Linked DNA regions of Callithrix jacchus. The protein of the gene in region 3 purifies or fractionates together with the protein of the main gene of each other region. This does not show direct contact. Links are inferred from orthologs where the notes say so. Each region holds a gene or a part of one and is shown on either strand. Other genes may lie near its edges. The genes, in order: MAPK8, CEP170 and WDR62.

What was found.
Region 1: the proteins of WDR62 (region 3) and MAPK8 purify together in Homo sapiens (affinity purification with mass spectrometry; 5 studies listed by BioGRID and IntAct, counting the BioPlex papers as one, with this or other methods). This does not show direct contact. The link is inferred for Callithrix jacchus from reciprocal best matches to the Homo sapiens genes WDR62 and MAPK8.
Region 2: the proteins of WDR62 (region 3) and CEP170 purify together in Homo sapiens (affinity purification with mass spectrometry; 3 studies listed by BioGRID and IntAct, with this or other methods). This does not show direct contact. The link is inferred for Callithrix jacchus from reciprocal best matches to the Homo sapiens genes WDR62 and CEP170.

The regions. Positions count from the first base shown.
Region 1 is NC_133513.1:40,580,376-40,588,984, forward strand, and holds the start of MAPK8 (mitogen-activated protein kinase 8), read right to left. Parts: upstream 5,062-8,609; 5' UTR 4,910-5,061; intron 3,643-4,909; exon of another isoform or gene 3,449-3,642; intron 1-3,448. UniProt on the Homo sapiens protein: Serine/threonine-protein kinase involved in various processes such as cell proliferation, differentiation, migration, transformation and programmed cell death.
Region 2 is NC_133520.1:43,010,817-43,018,886, forward strand, and holds the end of CEP170 (centrosomal protein of 170 kDa), read left to right. Parts: intron 1-2,309; coding exon 2,310-2,403; intron 2,404-3,463; coding exon 3,464-3,515; intron 3,516-5,052; coding exon 5,053-5,342; 3' UTR 5,343-7,353; downstream 7,354-8,070.
Region 3 is NC_133523.1:32,230,712-32,238,781, forward strand, and holds part of WDR62 (WD repeat-containing protein 62), read left to right. Parts: intron 1-352; coding exon 353-444; intron 445-2,262; coding exon 2,263-2,388; intron 2,389-3,674; coding exon 3,675-3,742; intron 3,743-3,822; coding exon 3,823-3,944; intron 3,945-5,151; coding exon 5,152-5,227; intron 5,228-5,922; coding exon 5,923-6,034; intron 6,035-6,124; coding exon 6,125-6,188; intron 6,189-7,733; coding exon 7,734-7,931; intron 7,932-8,070. UniProt on the Homo sapiens protein: Required for cerebral cortical development. Plays a role in neuronal proliferation and migration.

The DNA.
Region 1 (8,609 bases), on a different chromosome or scaffold from region 3:
ACATTTCCAAATTTTAAGACAGAGAGGATTACTGGTCCAAATAAATCATCTCAGTCAATTCAGATTATATGAGATGATCAAATTTTAAATAAACCCCCCAGAGATGCAGAATGAAACAAATTGCATATTCTGGAGAATTAGAATAGACACTGTGCATTAAACTGATTGGAAGTTTACTTGGCATTTTACATTTGCTCAAAGTTAAAAATAAGTGATAACAAGTTTACTTGGCATTTTACATTTGCTCAAAGTTAAAAATAAGTGATAACAATAGCAAAATCTACGTGAATACTTGTATCTAACATTCCAGGCACCAAACCAGTGCCAGGCACTTTACATGCAGTACCTTATTTAAACCTCACAGCCCTATGAGGTTATGTGCTATTATTATTCTCATTTGACAAATAAAACAGGTCCAAATATGTTATATAACCTGAACTAGCCTTTACCTCAATTACTTAGATTGGAGCATGGATTAGAACCCAGGGCTGACCTTAAAACCCACGCTAGCAATCACTATAAGGTTTGGGTTCCTTAACTTTCTAAAGAATGGCAGATTTTGACTAAAATGGAAATATAATAAAGGGTAACAGCAAACACAGGTATCTATGTGTGATATAACCCACCTCCTTGAAAAAGAATGGAAGCTACTAAGTTTTTCAAAAAGGTGTCTCCTCTCTCTCTACACACACACACACACACACACACACACTCACTCTCTCTCTCTCTCTCTCTCTGTCTCTCTCTAAAAACTGGACTTCAGTGAAATCTGGCCTGCACAGAGATGTGAGGTGGACTTTTGTTTGGCGGGAGCCCTTTCATATAACTATTTTTTTTTTTTTTTTTTGAGATGGGAGTCTCACTGTATCCCCAGGCTGGAGTGCCATGGCGCAATCTCAGCTCACTGAAACCTTCACCTCTCGTGGATTCAAGTAATTCACTGCCTCAGCCTCCCAAGTAGCTGGGATTACATGTGCCTGCCACCACACCCAGCTAATTTTTGCATTTTTAGTAGAGACGGGGTTTCATCATCTTGGCCAGGCTGGTCTTGAAATCCTGACCTGGTGATCTACCTGTCTCGACCTTCCAATCATATATACCTTTTAAAAGAGCATAAATTCACTGTTTAGAGATGCCTTAAGTCTCATCCTTGATTATAATTTTCCTGAGGATCATGATCTCTTCATTTTATTTCTTCTACAAAGTCTCTGTGAGTATAGGGTCTCATGAGAAGGCATGATGCTGTGGAATAAATAAAAATCTACCTTTCCAAGAATCTCTAGCTTATGGTGATGCCTTCTATTTGTTTTCTAACTCTGAATATTAGAGAAAAAAAATTAAACAATTTTTTTTTTTGCTTCTGAAAATTACAAAATTCTAACTTTGATTACTGTTCTTAATTTGGGCTTCTGATTATCACCCAAGAAGGGCTCTTTTTATCCTAGTATGTTTTCTGAAGAACCACCTATATGATGAACAATGCTTCTATTAAAAAAAAGTTCTGACAGCCTCAGTTTATAGTTTTAAAGCCAAAAGAAAATTAAGGCACTTGCCTAAAGCTCCATAACTTGTTGGTAACAAAGTCCAGATGGCAGAAATGAGAAATGAACCTAGGTCTGATTCCTGGATTGCTTTAGTTCCACCTATTGACCTGAATAACAAGGCAACTCTTATTACAATACTCCTGTTACCTTCCAGTCAACTCATTTCTGAAATCAAAGTTCAACTTAACCTGCGTTAGAGTAAGAATGCAAAGCTTCTAAATGTTCAGATAAAGAGCTCATGATTAAGACAATCAGCATCACAGTTCACTGACATAGGCAAATGATTCATATATAAAGCTACGTGGTTATAATTACTTCCTTGGATTACATCAATCAGAAAGGCTACTACCCATACCATTGACTTGACCAGAGACCTCTAGAGAGCTGGAATCTTAATGTCAAGACATTATATTTTGTATTTCCACACATGCAACAAAGCATCCCAACCATGTAGATGACTCAAATATGTCAAAATTCAACCCACTGGCAAAGTGGACCAACAAGTAGCAGGCTCCTACTCAACAACCTCATAGCACTAGGATAGTTGGGAACTATTCATTTAACAACAAATTACTTCAAGTTGTTTCACTGAACACCTCATCCTCACAAGGTCACTTCCGTAATATTAGGCATGGAGCAAACAGTTAAGATTCTAACCACGTTTATTTGTGTACAATTTATTATTGCACTAATTGCCTTTCCAAATGGCATTTCCCCCAGGATCTAAAGGAATATGAAGGATATAGTTTCCAGGACACTTAAAAGGAGCCCTTTTCATACTTATTAAAGGAATATATTTACTAACAGAATCGATGCTATATTTCTTAAAGCATAATTTGAACTGGAATTCTGAGTGACTGCTAATGGGTATAATGCCTCTTCTTTGGGTGATGTTCTGGAATTAGTGGTGGTGATCAATGCACAACTTTGTGAATATACAAAAGACCAATGAAATATATATACTCTAAAGGGTGAATTTTATGATATGTCAATTAAATTACAATAGAGCTATTTTTAAAAAAACAACAATTTGGAATACAAAATAACATAACTCTGGTTCTCTACATAGCCTTACTGTGAGCTACTGCCAAAGGTTTGTCAGTAACCCCCTACTAGAATATGACATACTTTAGGTAAACCAATGAAAGTTTGGTATCTAAAGGATTTTCATCCCTTATCTTTAAATAGTATCATTTTCTTATTTCTTCATTTCTACTTTACATCAAATAATAAGCTCATTAATTAGTTCACTCATTTCGTATTCTTTCAAATCCAAAACAAATGCTACACTGTATTAAATAGTGAAAAATAACTTTAACTTGGATAAATCCATTATTTTGAGTTTTAGGCTCATATTTTGTGCCAATAGTATTAATACAAGTTAGAACTTAAAATCAAACATTTCAAGTAAACATTCCTAAAATATTAGAAATTAAATATTTCTAATAAAACATTTATGTGGTTTCTTTTGCCCTTACTTTTCCACAAAATAAGTGTCACCAAAAACCTTTCAAACAATATTCACAAAATGATAACTGCAATCATTTTAGACCCCTACTGAGATATCAGTTTATGTGTGCCTGTGTGTAGATTACGTACATACACACACAGACATACATACACTAGTACATACACGCACACACCCCACAACCTGCTTTAGTTTATTAATCATATAAAAAAAACTTAGACAAGATTTTATTTTAGGAAAATTAATGACCTACAAGTGATTCAAAAGCCCATGTCATCGTAAAAGATAATGTACATGAACTGATCATTCAGCCATCTGAAGCAACAGTAGCATGAAGCTTCCAAAACTTTATGGAGACCATTTTTTTAAAGTTTGATTTAAAATATTATCAATTATAAAGAGCTTTTCATCAATCCGACTTTTATTGAACACTTACTATATTCCAGGCTAGGTGGTGGAGAAAGAGATGCAAGACAGGCCTGCCCTCAAGGAAGTCCCATTTTGATTGCTTGCTTTTGTCAGGCACAGCACTAAACATGTTCACTTAGAGCATCTGACCTCCTAGGTTTAACGTTAACCACAGCAGGGGAATCTGAGGTAACCATTACAAATGACTGTAAGGCTGCAAGACTGGAAAAAATAAAGTTTAGAAATAAAAGCTGTTGTATGTTTAGACCAAATCTAAGTCTACTTCCTAATATTACACTTGTACTTCCAGATATACTGCTTAAAAAATGACCCAGAATATAACTATACCTTCCTTAGCAGACATGACTTACATAATTGTCTCATTTAAAGGTCCATCTATTGTACTTCAAAGCATCCTCTTCCATGAAAGGATACTTCTCTTTACCTTCAAATCAAACCTCTTCATCTGGGTACGCTACTAAACAGTTGCTGAATGAATGAATGAATGAAAAAAACAGATTTCTAATTGTCAAGAGGGTACTCGCTGGATGCTTATCTCAAAACACAATGGACTGACGGACCAGAATTCTGCTGGAAAAATCACTGAATTTCAGAGGTAAAAATAGTAATCACTGGACAATGCCATGTAGTCAACATATTATTAAATTCGCAGTAAAGACCAGGCGAGGAACTTTCGGGAATAAAAATGAAGTGTTCATCAGGGTACTTTAAAATGGCCTTGGTTCTACCATCTCTGAATTGGGAACACAAATGTGAGACAAAGAGATGGGAGGGCGGGGTGAAAAAGTCAAAAGGTCACCACCGAGTGACCCCCAAGAGAAATGCGCGCTGACCACTGAAGCTCGGGCCGAGCTGGGTGGACACCTCCCGCCCAAGCCACCGGCCTGAGCTCTGCCTCGCAGCCCAGAGCTGAAGGCCACCCCGGCCCTTTTCAGCGCTGCTGCCTGCGTTCGCCCAGAACGTTAGCACAAAGAAACCACCGAGAAGCAAAATACGGTCCCCATGGGCTCGGGGCAGGCTTGGGGACCCGGCGGCAGGAGCGCTCTCCTCGGCTCCTCGCCGCCCGGGAGGCAGCCAGGGAGCGGCGGGCCGCGGAGATGCCTCCGTCCGACCCTCGCCGAAGTGTTTCAGAACTTGCCACCCACCCCCCGCTCCATTTTCTCCTCCCGACTCGGAGGCAGGACCCGCGCAAGGAGGACGCGAGAGGACAGGCGGGCGGGGCTCACGGTGGCGGGCGGGCGGACAGGCGGCCGGCGGAGCGCGCTCAGGTCCCGCAGCCCCACGCCCCCTCGTCCGGCCCCCGCCTCCGCGCCGCTATTGTTCCCGCACCGCCCCCGCCCGCCGCGCGCTCTCGTCCCCACTCTCGGGAGGGGGTCACGGCTGAGAAGGCTGCGGCGGCGACGGCACAATAACATAAACACGGCGGGGCCGCCGGCCGCCCTGGCCCTGCGGCTCCCGCCGCACTCACCCGGCAGCGCAGCGAAAGGCGACAGGGAAGCCCGCCAGCGGAGACAGGGGCCGTCCGGGCGGTCGCCGCGGCCGCTACCCGGCGCAGCTCGCGGCTCAGCTTTCCGAGCCGCGTCGTCCGGCCTCAGCGGCTCCGCTGACTAACAGGGACGCGGGCCGTCACCGCGCACGCCCGCCTACGTCATCGCGCAGGGCCCTGCCCCCGCGCTTCCCGAGCGGCCTGCGGGGCGGGGCAGCCCCGGGGCCCGGATTGCGGGGGCGGGGCGCCGCCCGAGGGCGGGGCTACTCCAGTGGGCCGAGGGACTTGCGGAGGTGGCCTGGAGGCGGAGCCGCGGGGAGAGCCTCCGAGGGCGGTGGTGAGGGGCATGGCCAGGAGCGGGAGGGGCGGGGCCCTGAGGCGGCACGTGTTGGCGCGTGGCACCAGGGGACCGCGTCTGGCTGGCACCGGTAGCCAGGTCCTTGCTTAAGCCTTCGGGCCTCGCTGGCACAGGGTTGAAGGGCAGGTGCGCTTAGGCCAAATATGCCCGGCGAACAGGCACTCTTCCACTCCATACACATCTGAGCGATGAAAAGCTGTTTACCTTGACCAACAGTAGTTCCATTCCGAGGACACCTGTCCGGGTCCCAGCAACCCACAGAGAGATAAGTGTTCTCTTCACCTGCCCTAGAAAAGCTGCCTCCTGTTTTCCCAAAATCCACGTCCTCCGAGATTCCTTGCAAATCCAACTCTTCCCAGATGCCTTGCATTACCTGGCTTACCTCTGAGGCACCACAAAGCGTGTAAATGTTACAGAAGCGATAAATTGACGAGCCCTTTAAATATCCAACAACGGGTGGAAATTACCTACATCAATTCGGTAGAATACATTTTAGCAATTTAAAGGCCATGTGTTCAAGGAATTCTTAACAACATAGAAAAATGTTCACAATATATCATTAAGAGAAAGAAGCACAAAACAGGTCTTATATATAGAATGATCCCACTTAGATACTATATATACACATAGAAAAAACCTGGAAAGAAATACACCAAATTATGTTAACAGTCGTTCATCATTGGACTATGGAATAAAGGGTGACTTGGTTCTCTTTCACACTTTGGGTATTTTCTCATGTTTTCCGAGAATAATAGTTATGTTCACAATCGGAAACAAGTAAGTTACTTTAATAATAAATATATAAATATTTACATATTTATATATTTTTATAAATATATCTATAATGATTTGTTTTTATAATAAATATAATTTTTATAAATATTATATATATATGTATGTTGGGCTGGCCTGTTTCTGGTGATTCTGAAAAGGAACATACAGGTGATTATTCATTAATTCTCATCCCAGTTTCTCTCTCCCTCCTTTTCAACCTTCTTAATTTCCTGCCATCCTTTATTCCTGCAATAATTATTTATTGCATGCCCATTCAGTGCCAGGCAATACAATAGAGTTTACAGATTTAATCACTGTGCTATCAAAGTAATAGCAGTAAACACATGCAAAATTATCACTGTCTTATAATACAAATTGTCAAGGATACATAATATTATGAAACCAGTTAATACACTAGTTAATAGGGGCAGAAAAGATTTCCCTGAGAAACTGTCACTTGAGCTTGGAATGGGTTTGACTAGGCAGAGAATATTTTAGAAGTAACTTTGTATGCAAAGGTCCTGTGAAGAGATTGAGCAGGATAAACTGGAGAAATTCAGGAAAGGCTAGCTCTGCTGGAAGAGCAAACAAGGAGCTATAAGATGAAGTCAGGAAGACTGGTAAAGGGACCAAATGTAGGACAGCCATATTGGCCACGTTGAAAATCTTTTTACCCTAAGTGCAATGGGAAGCCCCTGACATATTCAGCAAAGGGTATGGCATGATTAGAATAGCTTCTTGAAAATATTTCTTACTGGAAAGAGGCCAGGTGGATGTAGGAGTAGTCTAGACCATAGGAAGTAGAGGCTTGATCTAGGATAATGGTCATGGAAATAGTTGATGGACATGGAAAGAGCTCAGAATTATTTAGGATGCTCAAGGGGCAGAACTTGCACATTCTTCAAGTGATGGGTTAGGTAGGGCCATGAAGGCGAGGGAGTCATCAAGGAAAACTTTAAGGTTTCGGGCTTGTGGCCAAGGATGGATGTTAATGCTGGTTCAACAAGATGGAAATCTTGGAAAAGGACCAGACTCCAAATCTCAGAGGATGTGGATTTTGGGAAAACAGGAAGCAGCTTTTCTAGGGCAGGCATGAAAATATCATGAGAGCAGGTTGTTTGGCTGTTTAAAGGCCTTTGAGATGCCCAAAACTGATGTTAAATTGGTGGTTAGATATACAGAGCTGAGGCTCAGCTAGATAAGAGACAAATCATTGACAGTGAGTGATGCCTTGAAGCCTTGGGATGGATGGGTCAGCCTAGGCCTGAGGGAGAGAGGGTAGTGAGTGAAAAGAAGAGAGGGCCTGCAACCAGTCTTGGGGAACTTCAGTGTTAAAGGGCCACAAAGGGGGAGATGAGTCTGTGATGAGCTGTCAGGAAGATGGAAGGATAACCGGGAGAGAGGTGTTCAAGAAGAAAGTACTGATCAATAATATTAAACATAACAGGAGGCTTGGAATCCTGGAGTAATAGAACCAGAAATGAGAGTGGGCGGGGAAATGAACGGGAGGTGAGAAAATAAAGGTGGTGAACATGGATGAGTCAGGCAGTGAAGTAGGATACAAGCTTATTTTACCTCTGATGGTAAGACTGTTGAGAGGGAGAGGTTGAATACACACAGAAGAAAAGGAAGAAATATATGTTTCCTGAGAAAACGGGGTGTGATTGGGCCACCCAGCCAGAGGTATCGGCCAGTACCTCCTACTCTTCACCAGATAAATTAAAGACCTGGAAGTAACAAAAAAACCAACACAACACTTAGAGCTGTTGTGAAGTGAGGGGAGTTGCTGGGAGCAGAGCTCCAGAGTTTCATACCCAGTTCTGTAATGCTATCGTTAATAACGACCTCCATCTCATTCCACAGGGCAAGCTTCTGACTTAGCGTCAATCTACCATGGTCAGCTTCTGATTGTCTACATCTAGAAAGAACATTCCACATATTTACATGTGTACATTTGTGTGTTTGTGTGTGTGTGTATGATTTCAGAAAGCATTTTTCTATTTCTAATGGAATGTAATTATCTCAGATAGTCTGTAAATTCAAAATGCTTTTTGTAACCCAGATGCAGTGTTGGGCCTCCTTCTTCTCATACAATTCTTCCTTGTCAAACTATTGGAGTTCCTTGTTAACCTGTTGAGGGTCTGACTCAGAAAAAGAGGAAAACATAGTGAATTCATGTTTCTTGTCTCTTGTTTCAGGGGAACTGTCTTGGAGACAGCTGGTCTTTGGATCCCTCTGAGGCTGGAATGGGGAAAGGAGAGAAGAGGAACTGTAGGCCTTTCAAACTCAGTGTCTGCTGAAGCCCTGAGGGATGTTCAAGAAGAGGTTGCACTCTGCCAGAGTCCCTCTTCCCTTGTCATTCCAGACCATACACACACTGGATTGTACTGAAGATGTTCCTCTGGCTAAGGTGTCAGGTGAATAACACCAAGCTGTTCAGGGTGCAGAAACTGAAAGTTGAGACTTCGATTTAGTTCCTAATTCCCTGACCTCACTCCAGGGGTGGGGAGTTGGGTTGGTGGGAAGGTTTTTACCAACTAAGGCCTGCAG
Region 2 (8,070 bases), on a different chromosome or scaffold from region 3:
GAGACTTCTGTTTGTTTCCCTAAAACCAAAGGCTTTATCAAAAAGTATTTTAACTTAATTCTTAAATTATTGAATGAAATAAACTTTGGAATTTTATCTGTTTTCATGCTGGAGTTTAGACTATTTTGAATCTATAATGTAATCTGAATATCACTTTGAAAGCTATGTTTTTTATTTAAAACTTATAAGGACCTTTGAACAAAAACAAGTTCTGATCATTATAACCTGGTCTAAACTAATTTTTTGGTCTGATTTTCTGCTTTTCTAGTATTTAAATATTAGAGTTTATTTCATAAAACCAAAATAGCAAGTTTGACTTGATCTGTACCATGTTATTTACAAATGGTTTTTTGTTTTTTTTGTCTTGAGACGGGCTGGAGTGCAGTGGTTATGATCATAGGTCACTGCTGCCTCGACCTTCCTGGGCACAAGCGATCCTCTCACCTCAGCCTTCTTAATAGCTAGGACTACAGGCACCTGCATCACACCTGGCTAATTTTTTTGTATTTTTTGTAGAGACGAGGTCTTGCCATGTTGCCCAGGCTGGTCTCGAACTCCTGGCATCAAGTGATCCACCCGTCTTGGCTTCCTGAAGTGCTAGGATTACAGGCATGAGCCACTGTGCCTGGCCAATAAACTGTATTTTAAAATAAACCTTTTATTTCTTCAGTGGGGCATTTTTTTCAGGGGCCATAAGTGACCATTCTAAGCAATTTTCACCGAAGGTGAAATGTCTGTTCTTTAACAGTTGTATATACTCAGTAGCCATCCTCTGGAAAAATTCACTGAAATTTTAGCAGTGTGGCTAACCAGAGACTTTCTCTATTGTACAAGTCCATTACAGTTCTAAGTTGGTTCATGAAATAGTCATTATTTTCTTATTTTCCCTCAGTCATAATAATTTAGAAAAGATGACTGGCAATGGTGGTTTTTTTTGGGGGGGTTTAGAAAATTCAATAGTAGGCCGTAAGAATATTCTTATACCAGATTCTAGACCCATTGTCGCCTTAAGCGTATGTTCCAGACTTGATGTGATGTTAATGAATTTCATCTTTTTAAATAAGGTAAGCATATTGATCTTTGAAGAAATAACAGTACAAATATTAACTTGGTTTACAACTTAAATGCTGATCAGCTTCCAGTAGTAATAAATCGACGTGAGGTTGTGCAGTTTATATAAGACTATGAACTAGATTTCCAGACTTACTGAAGAAATTTAAAAAGATACCAAAAAAGTAGCTAGTATTTACATCTTTCTAAAACTGCTGAATCATGTCTGATAGATTCTGAAGTGTTAGACAAGTGTCCCACATTTGAAAGACACATCAAAATTTTATGGCCCTTTATTTTATGTTATTTGAAGTTGGTTTCTAATATAGGATAATTATTGGGAATTGTTTTTATCAAAAGGATAACATCCTAATTTCCTAATTTTTAATAGGTATTAGGTTCAAATATACTGACAAGAATTAACCATTTTTAAGGAAAAGTACAGTACTCCCAATCTGCAGTCTTTAAAATAATATTCACACTTTGCTTGATCCATAAGGTGCTTACTCCTGTATAAAGAAGTCTTAACAGACACAATCGTTTAGACCTAATTCAGCCTGTCTTCATCTCCCTTATTCCTATACTGCATATATTCTGTCTGAACAAAAGTACATTTGCTTTATGGGAACAGTTACAGGTAGTTTCTGCTTATACTCAGGTGATACCTGTTGTTCCAGGATGCCCCACTGGATGCCTGCCACCACGGATAGTTCTAGACCCTAATATACTGCGCTTTTTCCTACACATACATGCCTATGATAAGAGATCAACAACAGTAACTAATAATAAAATAGAACATTATAACAATATGCTGTTAAAAAAAAGTCATGTGAATGTGGTCTCTTTCTCTCTCTCTGTCTCACTCTCCTGAAATACTGTATAGTTTTGGACCATGCTTGACTGCCACTAACTAAAACCATGGATAAGAAGGCATTGCTGTATTGTTAATTATAAATATTATAGTTTTGAAGTCATATCATCGTTTACATTTGTTTTATGTTTTGTTTTCAGTAAAGAATAAGATAAACAGTAAAGAGTTTATGCATGTATCAATAAGTATTCAGTTACTTTTCAATATGGATCTCATATACCTGAATTAATTGGTATTGTTGGCTTCATATTTTCATTCTCGACTTATGCAATGGTTGTTTTTTTTTAATTTGTGTACCTCTGAAAAGATACATTGTTTTGATATTATTAAAAAAGTAATAGGTTTTTAAAAATAGGAAAAGTTATACGCTTACTTTTTTGATTTATAGAATATTATTTAAAGACAAAGATCGGAACTGGGATGACATAGAAAGCAAACTGAGAGCCGAAAGTGAAGTTCCCATCGTGAAAACCTCAAGCATGGTACCATGATTTCTCTTGAAGTTACAACATTTTAAGAGAGTTTTATTTTGGGAGAAAGGCCCTTATTTTTTGGGTTGTTCATTGATTTACTTTGTCAAAAGAAGATATAAATGCAAAATTTGGGGAAATTTTATTTCTTCAACTGACTCACAGGTTTAAAATGTTGATTGTTTCAAAGTTGCAGAGGGTTTAAGGAGGAGTCTTTTGTGTTCCTTACTAGTATGTATTGTTGTTCTTGTAATACTTACAAACATGAAATTTTTAAAGAACACCAAATTTAATGTGAAAATATTAAGTTGACAGAAGTTGTTTCTGTTTACTTACTTGATATAATGCTTGTCTCCTTTTTAAAAGAATTTGTACAGATCTTCATTGCTCAGAATATAATCCTAATATTGAGGTTGCAGTTTATATGTTTTTACAAAGATAATGCGTAGGCACTTTTGCATAGTCATTGCAAGGTTGATTAGTAAGAATCTTTAAAAATCTTTGTGGCGGGACACGGTGGCTCACACCTGTAATCCCAGTACTTTGGGAGGCCAATGAGGGTGAATAATTTGAGTCCAAGGGTTCAAGAACAGCCTGATCAATGTGGCAAAACCCCATCTCTACTGAAAATATAAAAATCAGGCAGGCATGGTGGTTTGTGCCTCTAATACCAGCTACTTGGGAGGCAGAGGCAAGAAAATCGCTTGAACTTGGGAGGATGAGGTTACAGTGAGCCAAGATCATGCCACTGCACTCCAGTCTGGGCAACAAACAGAGTGAGACTCCATCTCAAAAAAGAAAAAATTGTTTTGCTTAAATAGTATAAATGACTTTAAACTTTACGTCTGCTGCAATCATCTCATTGAAAAAGTTATTCTATTTCAAATGTTTAAATATTTTAATTTGAATCTTGTTTACTAGATACCATAATTATTTCATACATGTTACTATTAATGTAGTACCATGTAGATAATGTTAAGTTTTCCAAATAAAATGAGAGTGAAATTCATTGCTTGTAAACTGGTAACATGTAGCTAAAGTAAGCTAACTTTTGTTACTGCTTTCCCTACAGGAGATTTCTTCTATCTTACAGGAGTTGAAAAGAGTTGAAAAGCAGCTACAAGGTAAATTTACTACTGAACTAAGTATAAAGAGCTAATAATTTACAATAAGTGCCTTCTAAGTTGTGTTTCTTAAAATATTCTTATTATTAGGATATTATTTGATTAAAAGCAATGACATACATAAAATACAGTTCTACATATTCACGTTACTCATCCAAAGGAACTTTTTTTAATTATATTATATTTTTAAAAATTATATTATATTTTTAAAAATTAAAAATATAATAAAGATAAATGAGCATATTTTAGTTTATAGGTTTGACATTAGGCTAGATGTTATAACTAATTGAAATTTTGTATGTATTAGGTATAAATAATAAGTAAAAAATAAATAATAAAGTTGTATATGTAGCTAAAACAGCTTGATAATTAGCATTATTTATGTGATTTGACAATTCTTAAATTACGTTAGTGGTATAACCTACAACAGTATTCTGATACAAATAATAGTTGCTTGGGTTGACAAGCAATGAGTACATATTACACATAAGGACCAAAAGAGAAAGGAGAGAAGAAAATGAGAGACTGTGACAGGGACATTGTTTGGTTTGTGTCAGAGCTGGATTATGCATTAATGCCTATGTATGCCTAGGACTTCTTGACCTAGAAGTCCCCAGTGGTACAATAAGCAGGTTCTATAGCCAACTGCTAATTCTACTGAGTCTTTATTTATTGAATAATCATAGGTTCATATGTGGAGCCTATGGAAATGATTTTTAACCTTTATTCAGCCCCAACACACCTAAGGGTTATGATATACCCCATGAGTAAAAGTAGCTTGCTAACATAATGATTGTTAGCTGGTAGACTGGGGTATACTTTTAAAAGGGCCTTCAAAATGATTCTTCTATCTGTGTTACTTCCTTCTCCCAGCTCTCTACTCTGCCCAATGCCAAATTGAAAATCACAGCCTGAGAACTTTCCATGTCAACCCAAAGATCTTTTGGATTGAAAGCTGATCTTTAGCTGACCCCTCCCATACAGGTAGCAAAGTCTGCTTGGCTTTGCAGGCTGCCCTCAGTGGTATAGACAGCTGATACCCTAGCACTCTGGCCAAGCTAAGTCACAATATTCTATGGTAGCATTCAGAGTATGCTGATGTTCTTCTGGCCTCTCCAGACTTGAGGTTACTCTGAACGCTGTCTTAGCAACTAAACCCCCAGTAATCTGAGTGATAAATACGGCTTAGATGTTTATTAAAAATCATAATAATTATTTTCTGCATCCTCTCACAATAATGAAAACAAATTTCAAAAAGATTTTTCTTGAATTCTACATCTTCAAATGCCAGACTTAAAAATCTCTGAAATGCCCGGAAGTGACACATCAAAGGACCCAGAGAAAGTATTCAGGGCTCGGTAATTGACAATACAGAGCTATGGAATTACTCAGAATGGAGTTTTAAATATAGTATTGGAAGAGTAGCCACATTTAAGATCATATACACACTGATAGTTTAAATATTATCCAAATCATAAACAATGTTCATATCTGAATGTAACTGCATCTGGAATTACATCCTTTTCCCCTATTTTAGCAATCAATGCTATGATTGATCCTGATGGAACTTTGGAGGCTCTGAACAACATGGGATTTCCCAGTGCTATCTTGCCATCTCCACCAAAACAGAAGTCCAGCCCTGTGAATAACCACGGCAGCCCTGGTCAGACACCAACACTTTGCCAGCCAGAAGCTAGGGCTCTTCATCCTGCTGCTATTTCAGTCTCAGCTGAATTTGAGAATGCTGAATCTGAGGCTGATTTCAGTATACATTTCAATAGATTCAACCCTGATGGGGAAGAGGAAGATGTCATAGTACATGAATGACTTTCTCTTGATTACTGAAAAATCATTACCTGTGGAATTGCTAGGAATATTGGAAGCAGCATAGTGTTGACGTACACAAAACAATACAGCTTGGTCAACTACAGTCTTGTAATCCCTGTCTTCTTCATTTTATTTATTTATTTTCTACATATAATGTAGTATGTCAATCCTTTCAAACCATTTAGATAACCACTTGATGCACAAATAGGGAAAAAGCAGATTGTGGCAGTGTCATCTTTTATGGTCTTACGACTTTCAAATTGAATTTTATTATTACACCCTTTCCCTTCATAGATCTTTTTTTTAAGCCATGCTGTGACCTACAAGCAAACTAAATAGCCAACATTTCTGAACCCCTATGTCTCCTGTGCCAAGCTGCTCCCTGAAATGGACTTCTTCATCTGTACAGCTTTGTTAAACCATTCTATTTGCTTCTTAATAATAGGATTTATATTAGTACTCATTACCACTGGACACAATGACGTAACTACTATCCGCAGAAAAGCAGACCTTTCACAACAGTCATACTGTGTCCTAAAATTTTCCAACATAGATGTGATTTATATAACTTTGTTGATAACGTAAATTGTCTTGGGGTTTACGGAACTTAACTATTATGTTTGCACTAAGATTTGCTGGGAGTGGTAGGTGGACATATCTATATATCAATAAGGACTAACCGTCTTTTTTGTACATAGGAGATTGATAATACTGTACTTGTTTTAACCCCACAGTGTTTTACTCCACTTTCAAAAACATCGATTTGGCACTTTTTTTTCATTTTTTTTAATGAAAATAAGATTTTGTCTCTCATTTTAGGTAAAATGATAACTAGAAAGATTAAACTAGACAGATAGTTTAGGTGGAGTATATTTTTAAAACTAAGAACATGTATATTGGTCCTGTGTTACCAAGTTTATATGTGACAGTTGAAAAAAAAAAATTCCCTTGAAATGATCATGAGGTTAAAATTGTCTTCATTAGGGGAATTGGAGAACCAGTAGTCATAAGATTAGTTGGTAGTTTCACTCCCAAGCAATGAATTGCTTCTGTGTGTTTCCCTGTAGGACTCAGTAGTAAATCCTGTCTATCTTACACGTTTATAAGGACCCTGCAAGACAGCGACAGAGGCCTTTGGCCTGTGCCACTAAACAAGAGGCCTGTGAAAAATTTCTTCTTTCAACTTGTTTTTTCTCTTTCCAGTAAGTTCACATTTGGATGACTTTAAAACGTAATTACCTTTGTGTTTCCAGAACACTATAATTGGGGTGTATCTTAATTCAGTTAAATATGATTGAAAGTAGACCTGGATTTTCCCCCTTGACCCCATCAGTCTATAAAGGTTAAACTGCAACTTTTATGACATGGTCTTTAATATTTCCACAATAATCCTGTGCTATATTCGCTTTAAGAAACAGTGTAACTCTATACACTTCAAGACTTTACAGGATTTTCTAAATCCAGTATTGTTGGATCAATTAATAAAGATACAAAAAATCTTTTTATAGAGATATAAAAACAAAAGTATAATGGATCTCATATTTTTCTTTAAATTCAAAAAAAAGTAAATGAACTATTCTCCTTGTAAAGCTAAATTCCCCATTCTGTCTAATAAAGGAAAACTGAAAGAAGGTTTTAAAGAACATAAATGGAAAGATACAAATGCTTTGAAGGAATAAACAAAATGTTAAAACAGGGTCAATCCATTTGAAAAAAAAGTTGGACAAAGTAATCAGCATTGCTCCCTCTTTTTAATACTTGGGTACTGATTATATCCACATGGAAGTAGAAGGTAAGGAGTTTAGGAAAATATTAGAATCTACTCTGCTTACATTCTTGTTTAAGTGTTTACAAGTTTGGTTCAATTATAAACATTTGGCCTTTTACTATGTTATTTTAATTTTGTATGAATACATTATTCTCCTTATTTATTTTTGTTACATTTATTACTTATGTTATTTTGTTATGCATTTACAACTCCATTTTTAAATAAAGTGTTTCTGGAACTTTATATGATGATTGTATATATTTTTTCTTTTACCATCTTGCTTGCTAATACTTCATCAACTTATCAAATGAATATTTATAAACCATTTCCCAAGGCTTATAATATAGCCAAAGAAAGAATCCTCCACTTTTGTTAATATGTGATAACTGAAATCTCTTATTTTGACTATTTAAAGAAAAAAATCTTAGCAAATTATGATCAGTATAATTCACTTATCTTAATGCCCTGATGTAATGTGCATGTACAAAGTCTTTATTTTTAACCAGCTTTAGATCATCAGAAAGCTTTATGACAGTGATATATTTGGGGAATAAAATAGAAATTTAAAATACCTTGGTCATCTGAAATTTGATAACTATCAATTTGTACTGCTTTTTTAACCCTATCACTCAAGCTCAAGAATCTTAAATGTCTCCTTATTGCTATTCAAAATCCTAAGTCTCACAGAGTAACCTTTTGAGACTTTGTGTGACCTAGCCCTGTTCTTATGTGCGTATCTCTGTGTCCCAGTACAATATCTACCACCATTTACAAGTTTCTTGACCATCATGAGCTTTTCATCATTCTGTTCCCTGCATCTTCCTCCCTCCGCCCTTCCTTCTTGCTTTCCCATAGTCCGTTCATTCTTCATGGTCCCACCAACCACTTCATAAAGCTTCCTTCACTTGACTGCACCATGTAGGGCTGTGCCACCTATATGCATTTTACCCTTCCCCCATG
Region 3 (8,070 bases):
ATCCATACTCCTATGCTGGACTATGGTCTCCAGCCCCACCCCAGGGACCACCTCTGATGCAGCCCTGCATGTGTGCCTGCCCCTCTATAGGACTGTCCTAGGTCCCTGGGGCTATGTTCTGGCCCATACACCATAAGGGGCTGCTATCTGCTGAAGCGCCCCCTGGCTTAACATGGCTCCCTTTACGATGGCAGTTTTCTAAATGAGAAAAGTGGTTGTGCATCTGTAGAGTATTTGGCCATGATAAGGGGTTCTTATGTTGCTGGCCTGGCCATTCTGACCTTTCCTAGTAGTGGCAGAGCGCAAGGGGGCTGGGGTGTGGGGGCTTTAGCAGGCAGTCTATGTCTCCCAGGATCCACGAGCTGCACTTCATGGATGAGCTGGTCAAGGTGGAGGCCCATGATGCTGAGGTGCTGTGCCTGGAGTACTCTAAGCCGGAGACCGGTGAGCCCACAGTGGGGATGGAGTGGGTGTCAGGCAGGGAGGAGCCACCTTGGCAGAGCCACAGAAAGGAGTAGTTGGTGTCTGGTGGGACTGTGGATGGCAGCTGGGAGTCTTGTGTTTGGTAAGGGCCCCTGTTGCTGGACCCCGAAACCAGAGCGGCTGGGACTCAGCTTGACTTGCCCGCTGCTGGTGCCAGCCCCCAGCCAACACGGTAGATGTATGAATGAGTGAATTCTGAATGAGCTCATCCTCTACTGGAGAAGATAGATTGATTGTTAGGCATTCTTTTCTTTTTTGTTTTTATAAATTTTTTTGTATTTTTAGTGGAGATGGGGTTTCACCATGTTGGCCAGGCTGGTCTTGAACTCCTGACCTCGGGTGTTCCACCCACCTCAGCCTCCCAAAGTGCTGGGATTACAGGCATGAGACACCGCACCCAGCCTAGGCATTATTTTCAAAAAATTTGAAGCTTATAGAAATATTGGGAGAATATTATAATGAACACCCACCCACCTGGGCTTCACCCAAATTCCTCAAATTTTTTTGTTTGTTCTTTTTTTGAGATGGAGTCTCGCTCTGTCACCCAGGCTAGAGGTCAGTAGCACCATCTTGGCTCACTGCAACCTTCGCCTCCAGGATTCAAGTGATTCTCATGCCTCAGCCTCCCAAGTAGCTGGGATTACAGGCATACCACCATGCCTGGCCAATCTGTATTTTTAGTAGAGATGTGATTTCACCATGTTGGCCAGGCTGGTCTCAAACTTGACCTCAGGTGATCCATCTTCCCTGGCCTCCCAAAGTGCTAGGATTACAGGGGTGAGCCACCGTACCTGGCTTTTTTTTTTTTTTAATGGGACAGAGTCTCACTCTGTCACCCAGGCTGGAGTGTAATGGCACCATCTCGGCTCACTGCAACCTCCTTCTCCCGGGTTCAAGTGATTCTACTGCCTCAGCCTCTCGAGAGTCACTGAGATTACAGGCACCCCCCCCCCACCACACCCAGCTAATTTTTGTATTTTTAGTAGAGATGGGGTTTCACCATGTTGGCCAGGCTGGTCTCAAACTCCTAACCTCAGGTGATTTGCCTGCCTTGACCTCCCAAAGTGCTGGGATTACATGGCATGAACTACCATGCCCGGCTCCTCAAGATTTTTTCTAGGCTGGACACTATGCCTTAATCCCAGCACTTTGGGAGTTACGGAGTTGGTGGAATTAGGTCCTCATGTGATTTTCCCCATGCTCTTCTTTCATTCTCCCATGCCCCATGACCTGTGCCCCACCAACTTGTCTTTATACATCTCTTCACTCAATTTGCCTCTCCTGATCTCCTCTCTGCCTGGGGTCATGTTGTTAAGCCTCAGGCATAGCAAGTGACCAGAGTAGGGAAGGCTGGTGGCAGATGCGAGTCTGGCCACAGGCAGTCAATAGGACCTGGGCAAGGCCCAGGTAGCCTGACCTCAGAGGGTGAAAGGGCAGTGGTTTCAGGAGAGACTGAGAGGTTGCCAGGGATTTACCTGGTGTGCCAGGGAGTCGGACCCAGCAGGCAAGAGTGCTTGGCTCTGCTGGGGTGTCTGCTGTGGCTGTCCCTGGAGGAGCACCCATTGAGACTCATCCTCCCTGAGCTGGTGGTGAGGAGGTGAAATGTCAGGGTGTAAGGGCCCTGGGAAAGACCACGCAGAACTGAGGAAGTGACCCTTGCTGGGCTTGGGCCAAGTTGGCCCCCTTCTCCAAGACTGGGCAGCGCAGTCACACTGCCCTTTGGGAGGCCAGGGCACCCAGGCAGCCTTCAGGAACCAATCTCATCCTTTCCTCTCACAGGGATGACCTTGCTGGCCTCAGCCAGTCGGGACCGGCTGATCCATGTGCTGAACGTGGAGAAGAACTACAACCTGGAGCAGACGCTGGATGACCACTCCTCCTCCATCACCGCCATCAAGTTCGCTGGTGAGCCCCTTCCTTCCTGCTCCCTGTGCCCTGCTAGCTACCCTGCTAAAAAAGGATTTGTTCTTTTAACTCTCCTGTCAAATAGTATCCAAATAAGTGAATACAGTGTCTGTATACAACATAAAGAATAATGACCTGGGCAGGGAACGGTGGCTCAGTCCTGTAATCCCAGCACTTTGGGAGGCTGAGGAGGGTGGATCACCTGAGGTCAGGAGTTCAGGACCAGACTGGCCTACATGGTGAAACACCATTTTTGCTGAAAATAAAAAATTAGCTGGACATGGTGGTACACCTGTAATCCCAGCTACTTGGAAGGCTGAGGTGGGAGAATTGCTTAAACCTGGGAGGTAGAGACTGCAGCGGGTCATGCTTCCTCCCCTATATGGGGCTTACTCCCTTCTGTGAGCCAATGACTCTCCTTGAGCAACATCTAATATTTGTATGTCAGGCCTGGACCGTCTCTCAAATATTCTGTCATGAAGGAGCATGTCTGATGTGATGAGACCCTAAGAGTTTTATATTTGTTCTGCCTTTTCATTCTCACCAAACTCTTATTCTGTAAAGAAATGAGAATAGTAAAAGCAAGAATGTTTATAGTACTTGCCATGTTGCAGCCCCTATTCCAATGACTTCATACTACTCTCCAGGGAAGGGACTGTCACGACGCCCATTGTATGGACAGGAAGCTAAGGCTCAGAGGGGAGGCCCAGGTTCAGAGCTGTGTTTAAGAGCTTTGACTCTAGCACCAGAAAATGCCTGAGTTCAGTCCTCTCCCTGTCCTCTCTGTGTACCTTGGGACAAGGACTCTGTGAACCTCTGTGTTCACGCTTGTCCAGTGGAATGGGTGGTGAGCATTCAGGAATACTAGGCCCATGCATGGGGACTGGCCGGCTCGTTTGGATCTTGAAATTGATCTTGATGGCATGAGCCTCCCAGCCTGTCTCCACTGGTCCCTACTATAGTCCTGCCTCTACTCTGCTACTCAAGTCACCTATCTCAATCCCAGACTGGAGAGAGTGTCCCCTCTTTGTCCCCAGCCTTTGTTTCCCTATATGTCCTTGCTCTGCAGAGCCAGCCTTCCCCACAGCTCCACCTGTGCTCCCTCACACACACAGCTCATATCTCACAGAGTCCCATCCAGACCCAGCACCCACCTCACCTCCTCCAAGAAACCTTCCTAGATCCCAGTACAATTGATTGAAGGCCCTTGCAGTGGAGGTCCCCAGCTAGGAGCCCCTGCCCATGTGGCCCAGCCCTGCCTAACACACAGCCACTTCCTCCCCCAGGCAACAGAGATATCCAGATGATCAGCTGTGGGGCTGACAAGAGCATCTACTTTCGCAGCGCCCAGCGGGTAGGGTGGCATGGCCTGCTTGGGGACTGGGGTGGGGGGGTTATCAGGGGCATTCTCTGAAGGTCCTGCCACCCTGCCAGGGTTCGGATAGACTACACTTTGTCCGTACCCATCACGTAGCAGAGAAAACCACCTTGTATGACATGGACATTGACATCACCCAGAAGTATGTGGCCGTGGCCTGCCAGGACCGCAATGTGAGGTAAGGGGTGGCCTTGGGCCCTTAGCTGGACTGGGCCAGGCTGGTTTCTGAACAGGCACCGGCCTGGTCTGCTTTGTCCTAGGCTGGCTGCTTTCCTCCCTCTGTTCCTCTGGTCCCCAACAAGCTGGGAGGGGATTGAGGGATCCAGCAGGTGTTTCTTGTTTCTTGTTTCTTTTTTTATTCTGTTTTGTTTTGTTTTTTTGAGGCAGAGTCTCACTCTGTTGCCCAGGCTGGAGTGCAGTAGCACCATCTTGGCTCACTGTAACCTCCACCTCCCAGGTTCATGTGATTCTCTTGCCTCAGCCTTCCAAGTAGCTGGATTACAGGTGCCCGCCACCATGCCTGGCTAATTTTTTGTATTTTTAGTAGAGACAAGGTTTTGTCATGTTGGCCAGGCTGGTCTCAGACTCCTGACCTTGGGTGATCTGCCAACCTCAGGTTATCCACCGACCTCAGGTGATCTGCCCACCTCAGCCTCCCAAAGTGCTGGGATTACAGACGTGGGCTACCGCACTGGGCCGCTACCTGGTATTTCTCAGAAGTTGGGCTCTCCCAGGTCTGGTCTCCAGGTCAGCAGAGGGCTTCCTTCCAGCTCTCCCCAGAGCCAGTGTGGGATGACTGAGGTGCTAATGTGGCACATAAACTCCTGCATTCATCCGTATTCTCTGAGCGCCTAGCTGGGCTAGATGGCGTTGGGGTCATGGCAGTGGCCAGGATAGCCCCAGGCCCTGGACTTCGCAGTCCAGTGGAGGGGACATGGCTACCTCACAGCCACAGACAGTGACAGCACAGAGTGGTCAGAGATGGCAGAGCCCAGGGGCCCTAGGGAGATGCCCGACCCCATCTGGGGATCAAGCAGGACTTCCTGGAGGAAGAGACATCTGAGCCTGGGGAGGATGTGGAGGAGCGAGCCAGGGGAAGGCAGAGGGCAAAGGAGTGCAAAGAGGCTCTGCACCTCCTTCCTGACTCCTTATGGGGTGCTGGGCACTGAGCTTGCAGTTTGTAGGGGAGATGGGCATTAACTCAGCGGGTACCCCAGGACACAACTTGAGCTTGAGATGGGGTTTCAGTTTCAGTTTAGGCATCAGATGGGAATAGGAGATAGCAGGGGGCTTCCAGGGGAGGGGAGGACAGCAGGAGCCAGAGGGTGAAGTGGTAGGGCGGGGGCTGGGACCCTGTTTGCCACAACATGCCCCTACTTCCCCAGAGTCTACAACACCGTGAATGGGAAGCAGAAGAAGTGCTACAAGGGCTCCCAGGGTGACGAAGGGTCCTTGCTGAAGGTGAGGATTTGGGGCCCCCTGTCTGCTGCCTTGATGGGCCACCTAGTATGACGGCCCACACCTGAGACCTGTGCCCTTGGTGCTTCCTCAGTGCATTGCACTGGCCAGCACCTTCTCAGGCCTGGATAAACAAGGGTGGTTGCGAGGGGGTGGGGAGAGTGACCCCAGCTGCATTTCCTTTATTTACTGAGCCTTTACCCAAGTGGGGCGTCTAAGTTGGTTCCATTTTGAGTGGCAGCAGGGTATGGTGGAAAGAATCAGAGGCATGGACTCCTCTCCTGTCTTGCCCACACCAGCCATGATCACTCAGGACAAGGGGGGATCTTCTCAGAGCCTCTGGTCTAGGACAGTTATGGGTTCAGGCTCTGCCTCAGGTTGACTGTGTGACCTTGGGCAAGCATCATCTCTTGAGCCTGTTTTATGCCCTGTAAAATGCATGTAAAGACAGCTTGGCTCATGGACTTGTTCTCTGCATGAGTTCATTTTGCACACCTTCAGTGCTTAGCACAGGGCCTAGCTACTGTTGTTACTGCTGCAGTGGTGGTTCATTTCTTCACCTGCTGAATGGGAGTGGGAGCTGCTGCCCTACCAGGGTTCCATGTGCTGTGCATCCAGCATGGGGGAGGTGGGGCCCAGGCCTCACCATAAGGAAGAAGCAGGCAGCTGGAGTAACATGTGGGCCCCTTTCCTGGCAGGTCCATGTGGATCCCTCAGGTACCTTCCTGGCCACTAGCTGCTCTGACAAAAGCATCTCAGTGATTGACTTTTACTCGGGCGAGTGCATTGCCAAGATGTTTGGCCATTCAGGTGGGTGTGCCTCACTGCTTGGGATGCCTGCCCACCCACCCACAGCCTCTGACTCCGAAGGCAAGTGCAGCCTCTCTGCTTTGTTTGCAGAAATTATTACCAGCATGAAGTTCACCTATGACTGTCATCACTTGATCACAGTATCCGGAGACAGGTGGGACAGGCCTGGAGACTGCCCCTGGCCAGGCCTCCCTCTGGGAGTGGGTGGGACATGGACCATGGGAGAGTTGTGGCTCAGATACCATGACCACTTCACTTAGCCTGCCTGTGTAGAGAGCATTTCTGAGCTGCCCAATTTGGATTGTGTGAGTCTTGGTGTCACACCCAGCTGCTAGTTCAGATCCCAGCTCTAGGCTGGGCATGATGGCTCATGCCTATAACCCCAGCACTTTGGGAGGCTGAGGCAGGTGGACCACTTGAGCTCAAGAGTTCGAGATCAGCCTGGGCAACATAGCAAAACACCATCTCTACAAAAAATTAGTCAGGTGTGGTGGCACATACCTGTAGTCCCAGCTACTCAGGAGGGGAGAGACATCCTAAACCTGGTAGGTAGAGGTTGCAGTGAGCCCAGATTGTGCCAGTGCACCCCAACCTGGGTGACAGAGTGAGTCCCTGTCTCAAAAAAAAAAAAATCTAGGCCAGGCACAGTGGCTCATGCCTGTAGTCCCAGCACTTTGGGAGGCTGAGGCAGGCGGATCAGCTGAGTTCAGGAGTTGGAGACCAGCCTGACCAACATGGAGAAACCCTGTCTCTATTAAAAATACAAAATTAGCTGGGCATGGTGGTGCATGCCTGTAATCCCAGCTATTCAGGAGGCTGAGGCAGGAGAATCGCTTAACCCAAGAGGCAGAGGTTTTGGTGAACTGAGATTGTGCCATTGCACTCCAGCCTGGGCAACAAGAGCGAAACTCCATCTCAAAAAAAAAAAACACAAAACAAATCCCAGCTCTGTAACTTATTTTCTTGTCACCTTGAACAGGTTGTTTCCCCTCTCTGAGCTTCAGTTTGCTCCTCTGTAAATGACAACATCGTTTACCTTGAAAATTGTATGGTGAGGCTGGTTGTGGTGGCTCATGCTTATAATCCCAGCACTTTGGGAGGCCGAGGCGGGTGAATTACCTGAGGTCAGGAGTTCCAGGCCAGCCTGGTCAACATGGAGAAACCCTGTCTCTACTAAAAATAGAAAAATTAGCTGTGTGTGGTGGTGCATGTGTCTGTAGTCTCAGCTACTCAGCAGGGGCTAAGGCACAAGAATGACTTGAACCTGGGAGGTAAAGGTTGCAGTGAGCCATGATTGCAACTCTGCACTCTAGCCTAGGCGACAGAGCAAGACTCCATCTCAGAAAAAAGAAAAGAAAATTGTATGGTGAGAAATGAATGAGATGATACACATATATTCTTTGGCACATGGGTGGTGCTCAAGGAAGTCCCATTTGTCACTCCCTTTGATTTACTCCAGTTCTTTCCCACAGCCCCCTCCTTAAGTCTTGATGCCTCCCTAGTAGGCCCTGGTTTGCTGGCATGCCCCAGACCTGAAGCCAAGGGTATGGATGTGGCGAGTCTAGCCCCCTGCACTAAGCTGATGCGGTGTGCTTTCCAGGAGCATCTGGAGGACGGGGCCTAGGCTGCAGGTCAGTGTGGCAGTGGTTCCCATGTTCACTCTTCCTCCGCCTTGTGTGTGTCTCTTCGGCCCCTGCAGCTGTGTGTTTATCTGGCACCTGGGCCCGGAGATCACCAACTGCATGAAGCAGCACTTGCTGGAGATCGACCGCCGGGAGCAGCAGCAGCACATGAAGGACAGGAATTGGAGTGGCCACCCCAGGTCCTGGCAGCCCCTGTCCATCTACCAGAGGGATGAGTCCATGCCTGGGCACCATGGAGTGATGCTGGGGATATGGTAGTGGCCAAGACAGCCCTGGGCCCCGCCCTTAATACACTTGCAGCTGGGTAGGGGAGACAGATTTTGAATATGCAGTTATAGTAATACATCCAAAAAGTTTTTGTTTATTTGTATTTTTTTTTTAATTTTCATAAAT